Linked DNA regions of Drosophila melanogaster. The protein of the gene in region 1 purifies or fractionates together with the protein of each later gene. This does not show direct contact. Each region holds a gene or a part of one and is shown on either strand. Other genes may lie near its edges.

Region 1 (3,353 bases):
TTTTTTTCTATTAAAACTAAATTTATTGAAAACAAAAAAAATCTTAAAAAAACTTGAAACAATTTAAACCATTCATTCATTTCCAAAACTTGTTTCTGTCTTAATACAGTAGGCAATCCAATTGCAATTCAAAAGTTAGTCGCATGTGGGAAATTTCCAAATTTTAGTTCATAGCTTTTTTCGTACTTCGTTTATCGATGATTATATCATCCGTAAAGAAGTAATTGATCAAATCTTATAATCAAAACATTGACTTACTTTTATGTTGACCTTAAAAGTCGAGTATTTCTAGTCGCGGTTGGCCGATTTTATAGCAATACTCATAATTTAATCGTTCTGTGTAGTTGTAAATTAGAAGATTATTACATTTTGAAAGCTAAAATAAACGGAATCAACTAAATTCATGCAGACCTTAAATAACAATCACGCATTACCAAATGCAAGGCATTAAAAGTGCAAAACGGATAATCTTAGTAAATTAACTAAAATATTAATAAATATCGTTTTAAAACTGACCATTTCAGCGTAGGTTTTGAGGGCATTAAATTGGAATGATTTTAAACTTTACAATGAACAGAGTTTGTTAAAAAATCACAGCTTCCTTTTCAACATAGTTGCAAACAGAAATCCGGCCGCTGTTCAATAAATAATTAACTGCAATGAACGACAATGAAAAATCAATGTAATACCCGTTTCATTACCAATCAAGTTGGCCAATCTGCAGCAGTTTGAATACATAATTTATTTAATAATTTATACCCAGGCGATGTATTCTGGCCCCGCACAATCATACATATCTACCATGCATAACATCCCGTGTTCCGATTCATTTCGCGTGCCTGTCTCTGATTTCAGATCATAAATTATGCGCATACATCCCTCTTACATGTGCATATATATCATAAATCCAAAGTTGGAATTGAGTAGGCTTCGATAACGACTTAACAACTATGATTACGTGAGTGCTTTCCCCAATCGGGTCCTTTCATTCCATTTCAATCATCGCAGTTGTCGTCATTGGGTTAATAGGTTTACGAGGTTTACGTTCTCGGCTTGGCAGCACAATATCTCAGCACCTCATCCATGGTGCACGACTTCAGGCAACACTCGTCGAAGACTCCATCCCGAAGACGTCGAGTCTTGAGCATCTGAACCGAACTATCACTCAACAGTCTTTCCAGCAGGGAACGGTCTTCGAAGCCATCGATCTGATTGAAGTTCACGGGGTCTACAGGTGTTAGGTGAAAGTAAAGAGATATGGCACTTTAGTATTCCTTATATCAAGAAAAATCCCACCTACCCAAAGTTCTCTTGGTCATTGCGTTGAAGCCATACACACAGAGCTTGGAGAGAGTTTCGGGCAGTTTGCGGCCGCACAACTTCATGGTGGCCTGGACACCGCCGATCATAAGGATTAGTAGGAGTAGGCTAGGTAGCAGGATCCTCCTGTCCTGACACCTCATCTCGATGCCCATGAGTGATGAAGTGGTGTTTAAGTATGGATGCGTGAATCCCCCGGGGAGTGTGTAGTATGTGTCTGCCAAGTGGCACGGCCTCAACTGTTTGCCTCCCAGCCATCGACTGAGGGTTATATATATGGGGCAGAATCGGATAGGATACGAGTTGGATGTCTGCGGGCTGTATCCAGCGTCTGAGCACTGTCAGCATGAGTCAGCCGTAGTGTCAGTTAGCATCATCCACATATGTAGTTCGCCCTGGTCTGGTCTAGTTTCTCGTGAGGATTCGGGCTGGCATGGGATGTCTGAAATGGTGAGATGATGATGAGCCCGGGGGGTCTGACGCATATCAGCTGGCGTTTGTTTACTTTCTCGCCCAAGGAGTAGCGCACGGATCTGGATTGTTGAAAAACAAAATGACGTGCATCGAGTTCCCTTCGGCAGACGAGGATGTTCATCCATTTTGGTGGGTTCAGAAAGTTTAACTGTAAAGTTTAGCAGTTTAACTATATAGTTCTATGCATACATATTTAAACTCACATTTGGCAAGCTACTAAAAGTAAACTTACTTGAAATATATTCATTGATTAAATAAACACTTTTTCGAATTAGTCATTTATTAAATTTGGAATGTAATAAAAATTACCTAAAGAATAATGATACTTTCAAAACTACTTAAATTCTTTAAATTAACACAAAAGCCATTACGTTTTAACAACACTTTTAGAGCTTATTTCATTCCCATTCAATTAAAAACGAGTGCCAACTTATTCAATTGCTTTTGAGTGGAAAACAATAAAGTCGCCTTCTGTTATCTCATTATCTTGGCTCAGTACCTTCGATACTTTATGGTTTCCCCAAGTCCCTTTTGCCAATGATAAGCCAACTGAGCCTTTTTTCCGTCCGCAAAAAAACAGGTATTAGTATAGATTTTTACCTGTAAGAACGGAATTATTATCATTTCAAAACCCTTCGGTTGAATAGAGTGTTATCTTCGGAAAATCCCGCTACTGATTGGAAGTTGTTTTCTAGTTTTGATATCGCTCCTTCGATAATAACAAAAATTATGGATAAAAAGGAAGCTGTAAATTCGAATCTGAGTGTATTACCGAGTTCGTTTTGTCTCCACCTTTTGTTTTGCTTATTAAAATCAGAACGTCATCTAATTAAAAATTCATATTTTTCATTATTGTTCTCGGAAAACAAGGGCACCGCACTCGAGGTGCTGAATGGCAGCTGCTTGTGGGTGGCTCGATGGTTTGGGTGGCTTCGGGTGGTTTGAATAACAAGGGGATTCCCCATGCCTCACAGCTGGAATGCTGCAGGGCGTAGAATGTAGAAAAAAGCAATGGACTCTTCTTTTGTTTCTGCTGCTGCTTGGAGAGTAACTTTATTTGCCTCCACTAGAAATTTTACAATGAAATATTTGGAAATACGATTACGTTTATAGTTAGGGGTTAAGTGTAGTAGGAAAATGAATTGCAAATAGCCTGCCGGTCGTCGGGTGTTTTCCCCGTGCCGCCACACAAAATCTCAGCCATGTCGTGTTCATCTGGTACTTGGTTTTTGGGATCTGGTTTCTGGTTTTTATTTGTTTTGTTTTGCCATCCTGGTCATCAGGCGCAGTAGTCCAGTATATCGTCGTAGGTGCAGCCCTCCTTGCAACACTCGTGGGCGATGCGTCGCCGATGGCGTCGCAACTTTCGTCCACTTCCGACGGCCGGTGGCACACCCTTCTCCGTATCCGCATCCGTATGCTTCTGCTTTAACCTTCCCGTTTCCGTTTCCTGTTCAATGTCCTCATCCGGCTGCTGTAGCTTACGGATAAGGTCTCGCACTCTAGCATCCTTAGACGCTTGTCGAAAAGAAGTTAGATGTATGGAAGCCAATCGAATA
Region 2 (3,547 bases), 5.6 Mb from region 1:
TCTGTATGGGTGGCGATGCTGAATGAATTTGGTCGATCAATAAATTAGTTGTAGAAATGATGGGTGCACATAAATACGAATTGGGTGGGTGATTGACTGATTGATTGGTTGATTGACTGTGGCTTGTGCCACGAGTCATAAGTGCTTCTTGGGCTGCAGTGCCCTTAAGTAAACGGCCAATTAGTTTAAATACGTTAACTAGTGCTGCCTGAATCGCTAGGAACAATCATTGCTACTTACAAAGAACCAAAGAAGCGTGATTACAAGCCGATAACTAAAGCTATAATTGAAGAAAACCATAAAGTAGGTGCTATAATTCGAATGCTCTAAATGTGACTGATATTCGAGGATAATAAGTGGGAAAATTAGTGTCTAAGCCGGCATTAGATACGGTTAATTACCTGGACTACGAGCTAGATTGTGCTTAATCTAAATTGTACATAATTGTAAATCGTATGACCTTTTGATCCATCATATTTTTTTTTGATTTTTTTTTTTTTGTATTTTTTCTAAGCATATTTCATTTCTTTTCACGCATCTTCGAAGGCATTTGATCTATCTAACTAACTAGATGAATTTCCGTCGTCAATCCAATAGCCTTTTGTTTTTTATTTGGTGGTAGGATCTTTAGTCTTCCTCATTCTGCAAGGACAAGAAAAATACGTAGGGATTACTTAGGATGAGTTGGTATAACCCGGCGGGTAGGGGAATACTTACAAGTACGGGATACACGAAGGTATCGGCGGTATCCTTTCCGACGACGTTGCGGGCTATGCACTTGTAGTTGCCCATATCCTCCCACTTGATCTCGGAGATCAGAAGATCGCCGTTGGCCAGCACCCTGTGGCGATGTCCTTGGACGATCTCCTTGTTCTCGTTATTCAACCAGGTGATCTCGGCGCGGGGACGGGCGTGCACGCGGCAGGGCAGCTGAATGTTGGAGCCCATGAGGTCCAGATGCGTCTTCTCGGTGTAGATGATTCGCGGTTTCTGGGCACCCGGGTAGGTCTTCTCCGGCGTCAGACGAGAGGAGCGAGGAGGATGCACCACAGTGCTGGCATAGATGGTCTTGGAGCCAGTGCGTCCCACACACGTGTAGGTGCGGGCCTCGCTCAGCACGTGGTCGATGATATGCGACGATCGGACGCGCACAATGGCACTGGGCGCCTCTTCGGCAACCTGGTTGGAGTCCAGATCATCGAGCTCCGAGCGGGGCAGGTGACCCACCACCCACTGGATGCTGGGCACTTGGGAGCCCATCATCTCGCAAACGATCTCGATGGTGGCTCCATCGGCCTGCTGCAGCTTCGTCGGCGGCGTCTTGGTGAACTTGAGCCAGTCGGCTTCGAAGGCTCGGTTGCGTGGCTTCTCCTCCTCCGCCTCGATGGAGTTATCCACGTCGTTGCTATCGTCTACCAGGTCCACGGCTCTTCCGCGGACAGTGGCGATGCTGCCGAACAGCAGCAGCGCTAAGGCGCACACATGTAAATTCATTTTCTGCAAGATCGATAGAGAGAGTGGAAATCGGAAGTGAGTTCAAAGTTCAACAGCGGCACTCGTACGACTCTAATATAGGTTATTAAACCCCAGAGCAACGTGATGCGATTAGCCCGACTTTTCAGCCAGTCATGCATCCCCCCACCACCCCACCACCCCACTTCCCCCACTCATCACCGCCTCCATTAATCAGGGGAGGTCTCCGAGTCTATTTCCCCGATAAGAACGCAAGGCCTTCAGTCGGCGGGCTCTAGAACATTACTAACACTTGCGAAATGTGCTAATGGCTCTCGGAGTCCGGAATTTAGATTCGGAATCCTTTTCCGGCCCCTAAGAGATGTGCTCGGTCCAAACGTAGATGAATGTATTTCACAATGACACGTCACCAGACAACAAGAATTGACAAAAGAAAATGATATAAGATTCTTGCGTGGGCCGAATCAGAGGCAGAAATCGAAAACGGAAAACGGAATGACTCGCGGAGTGTGACGTCAATTTAAATTCGAATTCTACAGCCCGATTCGGATTCACACACTCACCCACGCTTCAGCCGCAGATCAAGGGCCAATGTGTCCCCATAGTCTAGACTGGACAAACTGCGTGACCGATTAATTATTCAAATAGTTTCGAGGGTATTATGTATGTACATACGCTTGTATGTATGAATTAGTAGTAGCCCCACAAAAAGTCATTCGCCAATCGCTGGCGAATGTTGCATCAGACGGTCTTTGCCCTTCGACGGTGATTTTTGTATCTTTGGGCATTTCTACGAATTCGAATTTTGAAAAAAAAAAAACAAACGAAAAACGGAACACGAAACTGCGTTCGGCGGCAATCACCTATCTATTGTTAACGCACATTACTCACCCTTTGATTTGATTTCTTTTTTCTCTTCCGGTAAAAAATGTTTGCAAATTTCTCCCCAACGTTGGACGATGATAGATCAGGTAAAGCAGAAGCAGGTCGGCTTATCGTTATGTTATGAACGAATTTATCAGCTCTATGTTGTGATGGCTCCTGGTCTGGGCTTTCTGGTTGAAGTTGAGCAGCAGCTGGCTTAGCACTGACATAGGTCCGGCGCTGGATGCCGTCTTGGAGGTCGTGCAGCTCAGTGTTGGTGGAATCTTGGCTGCTTGCCGGTCTGTCTTGGGCGACGAGGATGGATCGTATTGAAACGTCTGGGTGCTGTGCTCGGGAGTGGCGCTTCAGGATCGGGATAAGGATCGAGTAATTGGGTAGCGGAAGCGTGTTAATCTCAGGCGGCGTAGCGAATATCTAGCTGACTACTTTGGCACATTCGATCCTCGTGGCGGTATCAGTGCTCCTTCGATGTGGACGTGGACTTGGTCTGGTACTTCTTGATGGTTGTCTGGTTGGCGCGGCACTCGTTTGAATACGCACGGTTCATCGACATTACACTCGAGTCAAGGTGTGTTGGTTTTTGGTTTTTGGGGGGGATTGCTGCTGCGAATGCGGTTCACGGCGAATTGAAAAGCGAGGATCGCGGATCGGCTTAGTTAACTTCGGATCAGTTGGCTTCGGCGGCTCTCAAAAGTCGTGTTCAACAGCTGGAAACTGTAACAGAACTGAATTGGTGGCCGCAGCGCTGTTCCATTTATATGCGACGCCGGCTCACTCACACACACACACAGACAACAGACACACACACACACACTCTCACTCACTCGCCGCTCTCTCTCTGCTCGTTCTCGGATCGTAATTCTTTATGCGACCGCCGCACCGGGAAGGTGCGGAACAAAACAGATATAACCGGACGGGGGGTTCGATTATCCGCCTCGGGATCTGTCTTTCCACCGCCTAATTGCGTCCGCAGTCCAGAGTTGGTGGTTTGGAAACTGAGGTGTCTCACAAGGATAGCTCAATGACTTTCCAGCCCATATACCATTTCATTTCGATCTTGACAATTAACATTGTCATCTTATGCAAGTTGTTGAGAACATACAACAGTGTTCGAGATCCTATGACTTTCTATCACATGTAAGTAAAATTAATTAACCCTACATATAAAGGTGCTTCACACTACTCTGTT
Region 3 (6,653 bases), on another chromosome or scaffold:
GATACAGTTTATGGCAGTTTTGTTTTTAGAAATAGAAGTTGGCTTTAAGCATATTTAAAGCTAAAAATAACGTTTTATGATAAATAATAATAATAAATTACTGCCTATATTGACCATTGATGATGGTTTTATCAATTATTAACTAATTTTGAATGGATTATCGCGACGGTAACATAAATTATTATGTTTAAAATAATTTTTGGAATAGATATAATAACTAAATAATTATCCTGGGGTGAATTAGGCAGATTTTATCCGCTGTTACATATGTAATGATATATTCAAAGTACTACACTAAAGATATACCCTATAATAACAAAGTGAAAATTTGAAATTATTTCGTGCGTTTTTATGTGGTTTGCCCATTAAAATATCTAAAACAACGGGGCACAATTTTGCGCAAATTATTTATAGATTTCTATTGCTATTGTATTTAACACATAAATATATTATCTATTTTTTTGTTATTGAACAATCATTCAAGCTGCGTATTCAATTGGCATCTGACTAAATTTAGAAAATTCTTTTTCCGATTCCATTGAGCGTTACTTGCACCTTAATGAACTGCCAATTGCGCGTTGTTCAATGCTCACTACTCTACCAATTGGATTGGAGCTTTGGTTCACCCCCTCCCACCATTTTCGCTCTTATTTTCACTGTTTTTTTGCATTCACTCTAATTGAATTGTTCGCCGGTGCAATTTAATTTCTGCGCAAATGCAAAAACAAAAGGCAAAGACATGCACTCTGGGGAAAAAGGTAAAGAACGCCGGTAGGTGGCTAAGGGGAAGGTAGCTAAGGAGGAAGGGGGAAGAGGATCCAACCGGTTTGCAAATGGTTGCAAGGTCACATGGGGAGTGGGGGCGTGGCAAGGGGCTGTGGCGGTTGCAGAAGTAACAAGTGTTTTTCGGCTGACGGCAACAAGGAAACGACAATGAGAAAAACGTGAAAGGTAACAGATGCGTAAAATAATCGCTCCCCAACAAAATGAAACAGTGGCGTGCCAAGAATTTCAAAAAGGGTTTCCAGTTTTTGAATTTCATTTGTAGCTCCACAAATCGATCTATCAAAAACCGTAAAAGATCATACGAATTATCATGGTACTCTTAATCTTAATTTTAAGTTTCGTATATCACTTTTTTAATTGACTGCAAAAGGGCATTAGGGGGTTTAAATTTGATTGAGAAAACTAGAAACAAACAAATAGCAAGACCGGCAAGTATATTATTTTACGATATTGTTTTACGAAATGTTTACTTTCATTAACGTAAATATTACCAGACTGCTCCCCATCGAATCATCAGTCTTCTTCTCTCACAACAGCCACCACCTTTGATTTTCATTCTTGAGCAGTTTTTATACACCGAGTCGAAAAAATAGTTCTGGTTTTTGAAGATATTTAGATATTTATATTAGAATTGGCTCTATCAAACAATATGCTAAATATTTTATTATTGTAATAATTTTGGAAATCTGCTTAAAAGATATTTTGCTTAAGAAAAAGGTTACTAAATATGTTCGCTTTGCATACATTTTTAGGTTCTTATAAATGTCGACAAATTTGAATAGTTTTATGAACACTACACGATTTTCCGCTGGTGTAGCCGAAGGGTTTAGAGAACGAAGACGAGCGCATAAAAAAGAAATAACAGTGTGAAACAAAACCAAACAAAACAAAACAAAGTGAATGCCGAAAGAAGAGGCTAATTAAAGAGATCGAAAGCACAGAACGCTGTTCGAATCGAATGCCATCAGTCCAAATCGAATCGTTGCCGCGAACGCAGCTCTCTTCAAAAGCGGAAAAAATATTTAAAAAAATATATAGTTCAACCGATCGATCGTGCGAGAAAAACGACATTGACATTCAAGCGGGCGCGCTAATTGATCCATTGGAAGCCCCCTTAACGCCCGGGTCAAGTGCTCTCAATTGGAAGTGTCAGGTGGCAGCATGGGGCATCTGCACCCCGTTCCCAACCCCCTTCCGATCCCCATCTCGATCGCAGTTCCGTTGATACTGCTGTTTTTGGGCGCCTCATCGCCGGTTTTGGCCAGTTCCGATGATCAAACCGCCTGCGGATCGTTGGAGATAAATAAGATTGCGGACCTGCGGAAACTGCAGAACTGTACTCATGTGGTGGGTCACGTTCGACTGGCCTATGTGGATCTGACGGATGTATCCGGCAACTACAGCCTGGATTCGCTGGCCAGCAATGTGACCGAGATCAGTGACTACCTAATGGTGTATCGCTGCACGGGTCTGATCAGCCTGCAGTCGATATTCCCACGGCTGCGTATCATTCGTGGGCAGGAGCTCCTCTTTGATCAGTACTCCCTGGTGGTCTACGAGAATCGCAATCTCAGGGAGCTCGGCCTGGTGGAGTTATTGCGCATCCAGAGCGGATTCATTCGCGTCGAATCGAATCCCTTGCTGTGCTTCGTGGAAACCGTCGATTGGATATATCTAATGGGCAATGCCACTCGGCAGCACTTTTCCCTTAAAGTGAGTGAAGATATACTTGGGCATATGTTCCTTGATATTAAGCAAATATTGGATAAATAACTTTTTTATTAACCATAGCACAACAGACCGCAAAGTCAGTGCCCTTTGTGTGGTAGCCTGTCAGCGGACTTCGAGTTCATCCGGAACTCCTCGGAGCGCTGCTGGAACGTGAATACGACACAACTTCGCCCCCAACCGCCCAGACTTAAGGACTGCCCCATTGCATGTGGCCTAAACGGATGTGATAGTGCGGGCAAATGTTGTGATCACAACTGTGTAACTGGTTGCTATTCCCAAAACTGCTCCCTTTGTGCAAACTACCAGGGAAGAATGGGATGTGTCAATCAGTGTGTCGCCAGCTATGAATTAAACAAGAGGAGGTGCATCGGTCACAGGGAGTGCCGGGAATTGGGAAGGATTCCCCTGATACGCGGCTATCAGTGTGTGAAAAAGTGTCCGGGAAACCAGAAAGAGATTTTGGTCGCCAAGGGCATCATCCACTGCCAGGTGGAGTGCAACGGCGATTTTCACGTGAAGAGTGCTGCCGACCTGGAAGTTTTACAAGACTGTGTGACGATCAATGGTTCACTTACCATCGAACTCACCAATATTAAAGGTGTGTTTCATATCATATATGATATCTGTATAATTTACTTACATAATACATTTTCCAGAAAAAATTGTAGATGCCTTGGAAAATGCGTTGGCCAGTGTTAAAGAGATCACTGGGTATCTGAAGGTCATACACTCTGCACAGCTGATGTCGCTCACATTTCTTCAGAATTTGGATGCCATAAGAGGGGATAAGCTGGTGGAAAACAAGTTAGTTTGAGAGGCAAGGATTGTATTGAAATTCTAATAATATTATTTATCTCATTTTCAGATACGCCCTGTATGTAGTGAATAACTACCATTTGGAGCACATTTGGCCACCCAATCACCTGGTGATCATTCAGCGCGGTACACTATTCTTTCACCTGAATCCCCGCCTGTGCTACGAGAAAATCCATCAGCTACAGGGCTCCCTGAAAAGCGGAGAGAATATATCCGTGGCAGATGTATCCCCCAATTCGAACGGCGAACGCGTGATTTGTGGCGACGCGGTGCGCTCCCTCAATCCCAAAGTGGAGGACCTAAATTCCACTGCGGTACGCATCATCCTGGACTACATGGACTGGGAGGGTATGGAAACGCTAATAGGATATTCGTATCACTACAAGGAAGCCCCGGTGCAAAACGTGACTATGTACGATGGTCGGCATGGTTGCGGTCATGACAAGTGGGTGTGGACTCCTCGCCCTCACCAAGTTTACCTACAGTGATTCTGTTTATAATTTTCCAGCTGGCTGATGGACGTTGTGCCCAACCAGAGTCGACGTCATGTGATAAGCGGTCTGAAGCCCTACACACAGTATGCGTATTTCGTGAAGACCCTCACCAGAACCGAATATCATATTCAGATAGATGCCTACTCAAAAATCGGCTACTTCCAGACGCTACCGGATAGGCCAAGTCCTGTGCTCCGAATATATGGCAGTTCGGAAATCAGTTCCCAGATTGTAAGTACTTTTCAAAATATATCTCTCAGCTTAAAAACTTGTTCATTTCCAGCTTCTTCACTGGTGGCCACCGAGGCGTCCAAATGGAGTCATTAAAAATTATTTTGTGACCGCCGAAAAGTACAATGCTACCAAGGAAGCAAAGGACAAAAATTATGTGAATGTTGAGTTGGAAAATGCTAAAGACATCGATTGTGAGTGCGCTGGTGTACTGCCCTACTATTCAGGTCCTCAGCCAGATGACGAGGATTACTACAACAAAGAGCAAATCACCTACGAGGATGCGTTGCCCAATCTCATTTATGTTTCGTAAGACAAGAAAATATGGTTTTCTTTGAAGTTTCAATTGAAATAATATACAATATTATACCATCTATAGGCGCAATCACGACTATCGCAGAAAGGAGTTCGAAAAAGTGATTAACTATGAGCACCTGTTGTCCATAAAGAAGGATGAAGAGCCCACCAGACCGCCCACAACCACTCCTGCTCCTACAAATGCAACATTGGCTAAGGAGAGATTGGCCGCAATTAACTATGAGAATTATCGCCTGAATAGCGAGAAGAAGCAGCGGGATCTTCAGGACTTGGACCAGCACAAGTATACCATCCGACATGCCTTGCCCAAGTGCCAAAACTCCCACGCATCCGTGGTCCAGCAAGTGGAGGAAAAATGCGTGGCTGAGGAGCCCTTGAGTGGCTACGAACTTCCGGGCACCCAGCACTTTTACTGCCTCTCCCAGTTGGAGCCGGAAACCCATTACCGGATCACCATACGGGCTTGCGTCGAGGGCGTGGTCAACGGATGCTCAACTCCGGCGGAAGCTGTAATCAAGACTGCAAGCATCCAACTGGAGCGATTCATCAAGGGTGTTTAGCAGAGAATCCTCGATCGCAGACTTTCTGTATCCGCTGACAAGTGATAAATGCTAGACCCATATGACGATAGGCATGTTGAAAACTTGATGCAATATCAACCTAAATCAACGTGTTTAACATTTACTATATCTGTATTTATTGTTCTAAAAAACTTGACATAGAAGGACCGCTGGACCTCTTATTTTTCCAGACTATATATGTCGTAGTTTTACTATTTGGAATTAATTTTTTTTTTTAATATTTTTCGGTTTTTAACTTTGATTATAATTAGACTGAACAGCTTTAATGCTTTTTACTTGAATCAATTGTTAAAATGTAATGTAATGTGTAAGCCGTGTCATATGGGCCCAACTAAGTATTGTAAGTCAAGTGACTGTAGTTCCTCCAAATGTATTGTAAATGTGTAAATGCCAAACAAATCCTCGACAAGCGAGCAAATGTTTTCATCAGTGCTAATTTGACTTATCAGCTTATCAGACTTAGCCGCACGTCCTTGCAATGTGTGCCAGAGCCAGAAACCGTTCAAAGGGAAAAACCCTCACTGACAGCAGTGATTCCTGAGATCCTCAACTTGGCCCGGAAAGCGGTTACCTTTCTCTCGAGATTGGCCATGGCATAAGCCTAGGCGAAACTAACAACAGCAGGCTGCCTGGAACTTCCAACGCATGCCACTTAATATGCAAATATGCCGCAAAAGAGCTTTAAACTTTAAAACACTGACAAAAACTAGAACTAATCCCCACCATCGAAAACTGGGCGGAAAGGGACTAGGTCGAGACGATGCTTTTGCTTTCGGTGTGGAGTGGAGTCAAGTCGAGTACGTGTCATGTGTCGCCTTGTTTGTGGCCAAGTTTTCGGCGCAGCTGGAAAAGTTCCATGAAAACGTGTCCCACTCAATGGGGAAAAGCGGTTCGTGATTGACGCAGGACTAAGTATGAGCGGCGAGGGGTGAGCGGGATGCGGGAAGCTAAGGACGCTCAGAGTGCCTGCAGAGGAAAAGGATTTCAATTCTGCCGCTGACACTGACGCGCAATTTAACTACCTTAGAGGTCGCGAGTGAAGTACTCCAAAGGGGGTAACTTGGCGACTATCCCTTCGCGTACTTTGGAAGCTTCACTGCAAGAAACTCACTAGCACAAATTTAGGTCATATATAATATACTGCAATTGAAAGCCAATCAATAAAAGGTATAACATTTCATTGTCTACAATAAAATTCCCTTTAAAAATACTCAAGTTTATCATATTTGTTAGTCTAAGCTAGAGTTTCTTTTTAGTGAGCTAATACCCGCTGGCAAACCTTATTCAACCTACTGAGTGTAACTAATCTCTTTTTCAATTTTTGATGTAGCCATTTAAATCAACTGGCTGGACTTAAAGCAAAATGCTGGGCAGCTGGAAACCACTTATGCCACATCCTTTGGCGCCGTCTTTAAGTGGAGGAAGGAAGAGATATGGGGCTGTGTGTGATCTTATCCTAAACCAATTGTATTTCAATATTTCACTGTCCCCTCCTCTTCGCCCTTTGCTGTTGCACCATTTTTCGCGTTATTTCCGTTGCCATAGACGCAGTTGTAGTAGCAGCTGTAGCTGTGGTTGCAAACGTAGTCCTTGCCGTGTAGCCTCGTTATCCTTGCACTCGTTTGTTATCTATGCACTTGCCGGGCCAAGCACTTTGGGTGCGGTTCGTCGATGTCAGTGCGTCAGTTTAGCAGTT

The links. Proteins that work in one complex are often made in the same cells at the same time.
Region 2: the proteins of Ilp3 (region 1) and ImpL2 purify together in Drosophila melanogaster (affinity purification with western blotting, with the first as the bait; one study listed by BioGRID). This does not show direct contact.
Region 3: the proteins of Ilp3 (region 1) and Sdr purify together in Drosophila melanogaster (affinity purification with western blotting, with the first as the bait; one study listed by BioGRID). This does not show direct contact.

What each region holds. Positions count from the first base shown.
Region 1 is NT_037436.4:9,800,575-9,803,927, forward strand, and holds Ilp3 (Insulin-like peptide 3), read right to left. Parts: upstream 1,547-3,353; 5' UTR 1,476-1,546; coding exon 1,301-1,475; intron 1,229-1,300; coding exon 1,041-1,228; 3' UTR 724-1,040; downstream 1-723. Other genes in the region: Ilp4 (Insulin-like peptide 4), read right to left, coding at 3,074-3,312. UniProt on the Drosophila melanogaster protein: Possible ligand of InR/insulin-like receptor.
Region 2 is NT_037436.4:4,224,210-4,227,756, forward strand, and holds ImpL2 (Ecdysone-inducible gene L2), read right to left. Parts: upstream 1,742-3,547; 5' UTR 1,684-1,741; coding exon 1,675-1,683; intron 1,498-1,674; coding exon 718-1,497; intron 643-717; coding exon 628-642; 3' UTR 501-627; downstream 1-500. Other genes in the region: CG46460 (uncharacterized protein), read right to left, coding at 2,472-2,567. UniProt on the Drosophila melanogaster protein: Essential developmental role during embryogenesis, in particular the normal development of the nervous system. May be involved in some aspect of cell adhesion.
Region 3 is NT_033777.3:14,916,931-14,923,583, forward strand, and holds Sdr (secreted decoy of InR), read left to right. Parts: upstream 1-1,697; 5' UTR 1,698-1,947; coding exon 1,948-2,499; intron 2,500-2,577; coding exon 2,578-3,115; intron 3,116-3,173; coding exon 3,174-3,321; intron 3,322-3,382; coding exon 3,383-3,778; intron 3,779-3,841; coding exon 3,842-4,058; intron 4,059-4,110; coding exon 4,111-4,367; intron 4,368-4,437; coding exon 4,438-4,936; 3' UTR 4,937-6,153; downstream 6,154-6,653.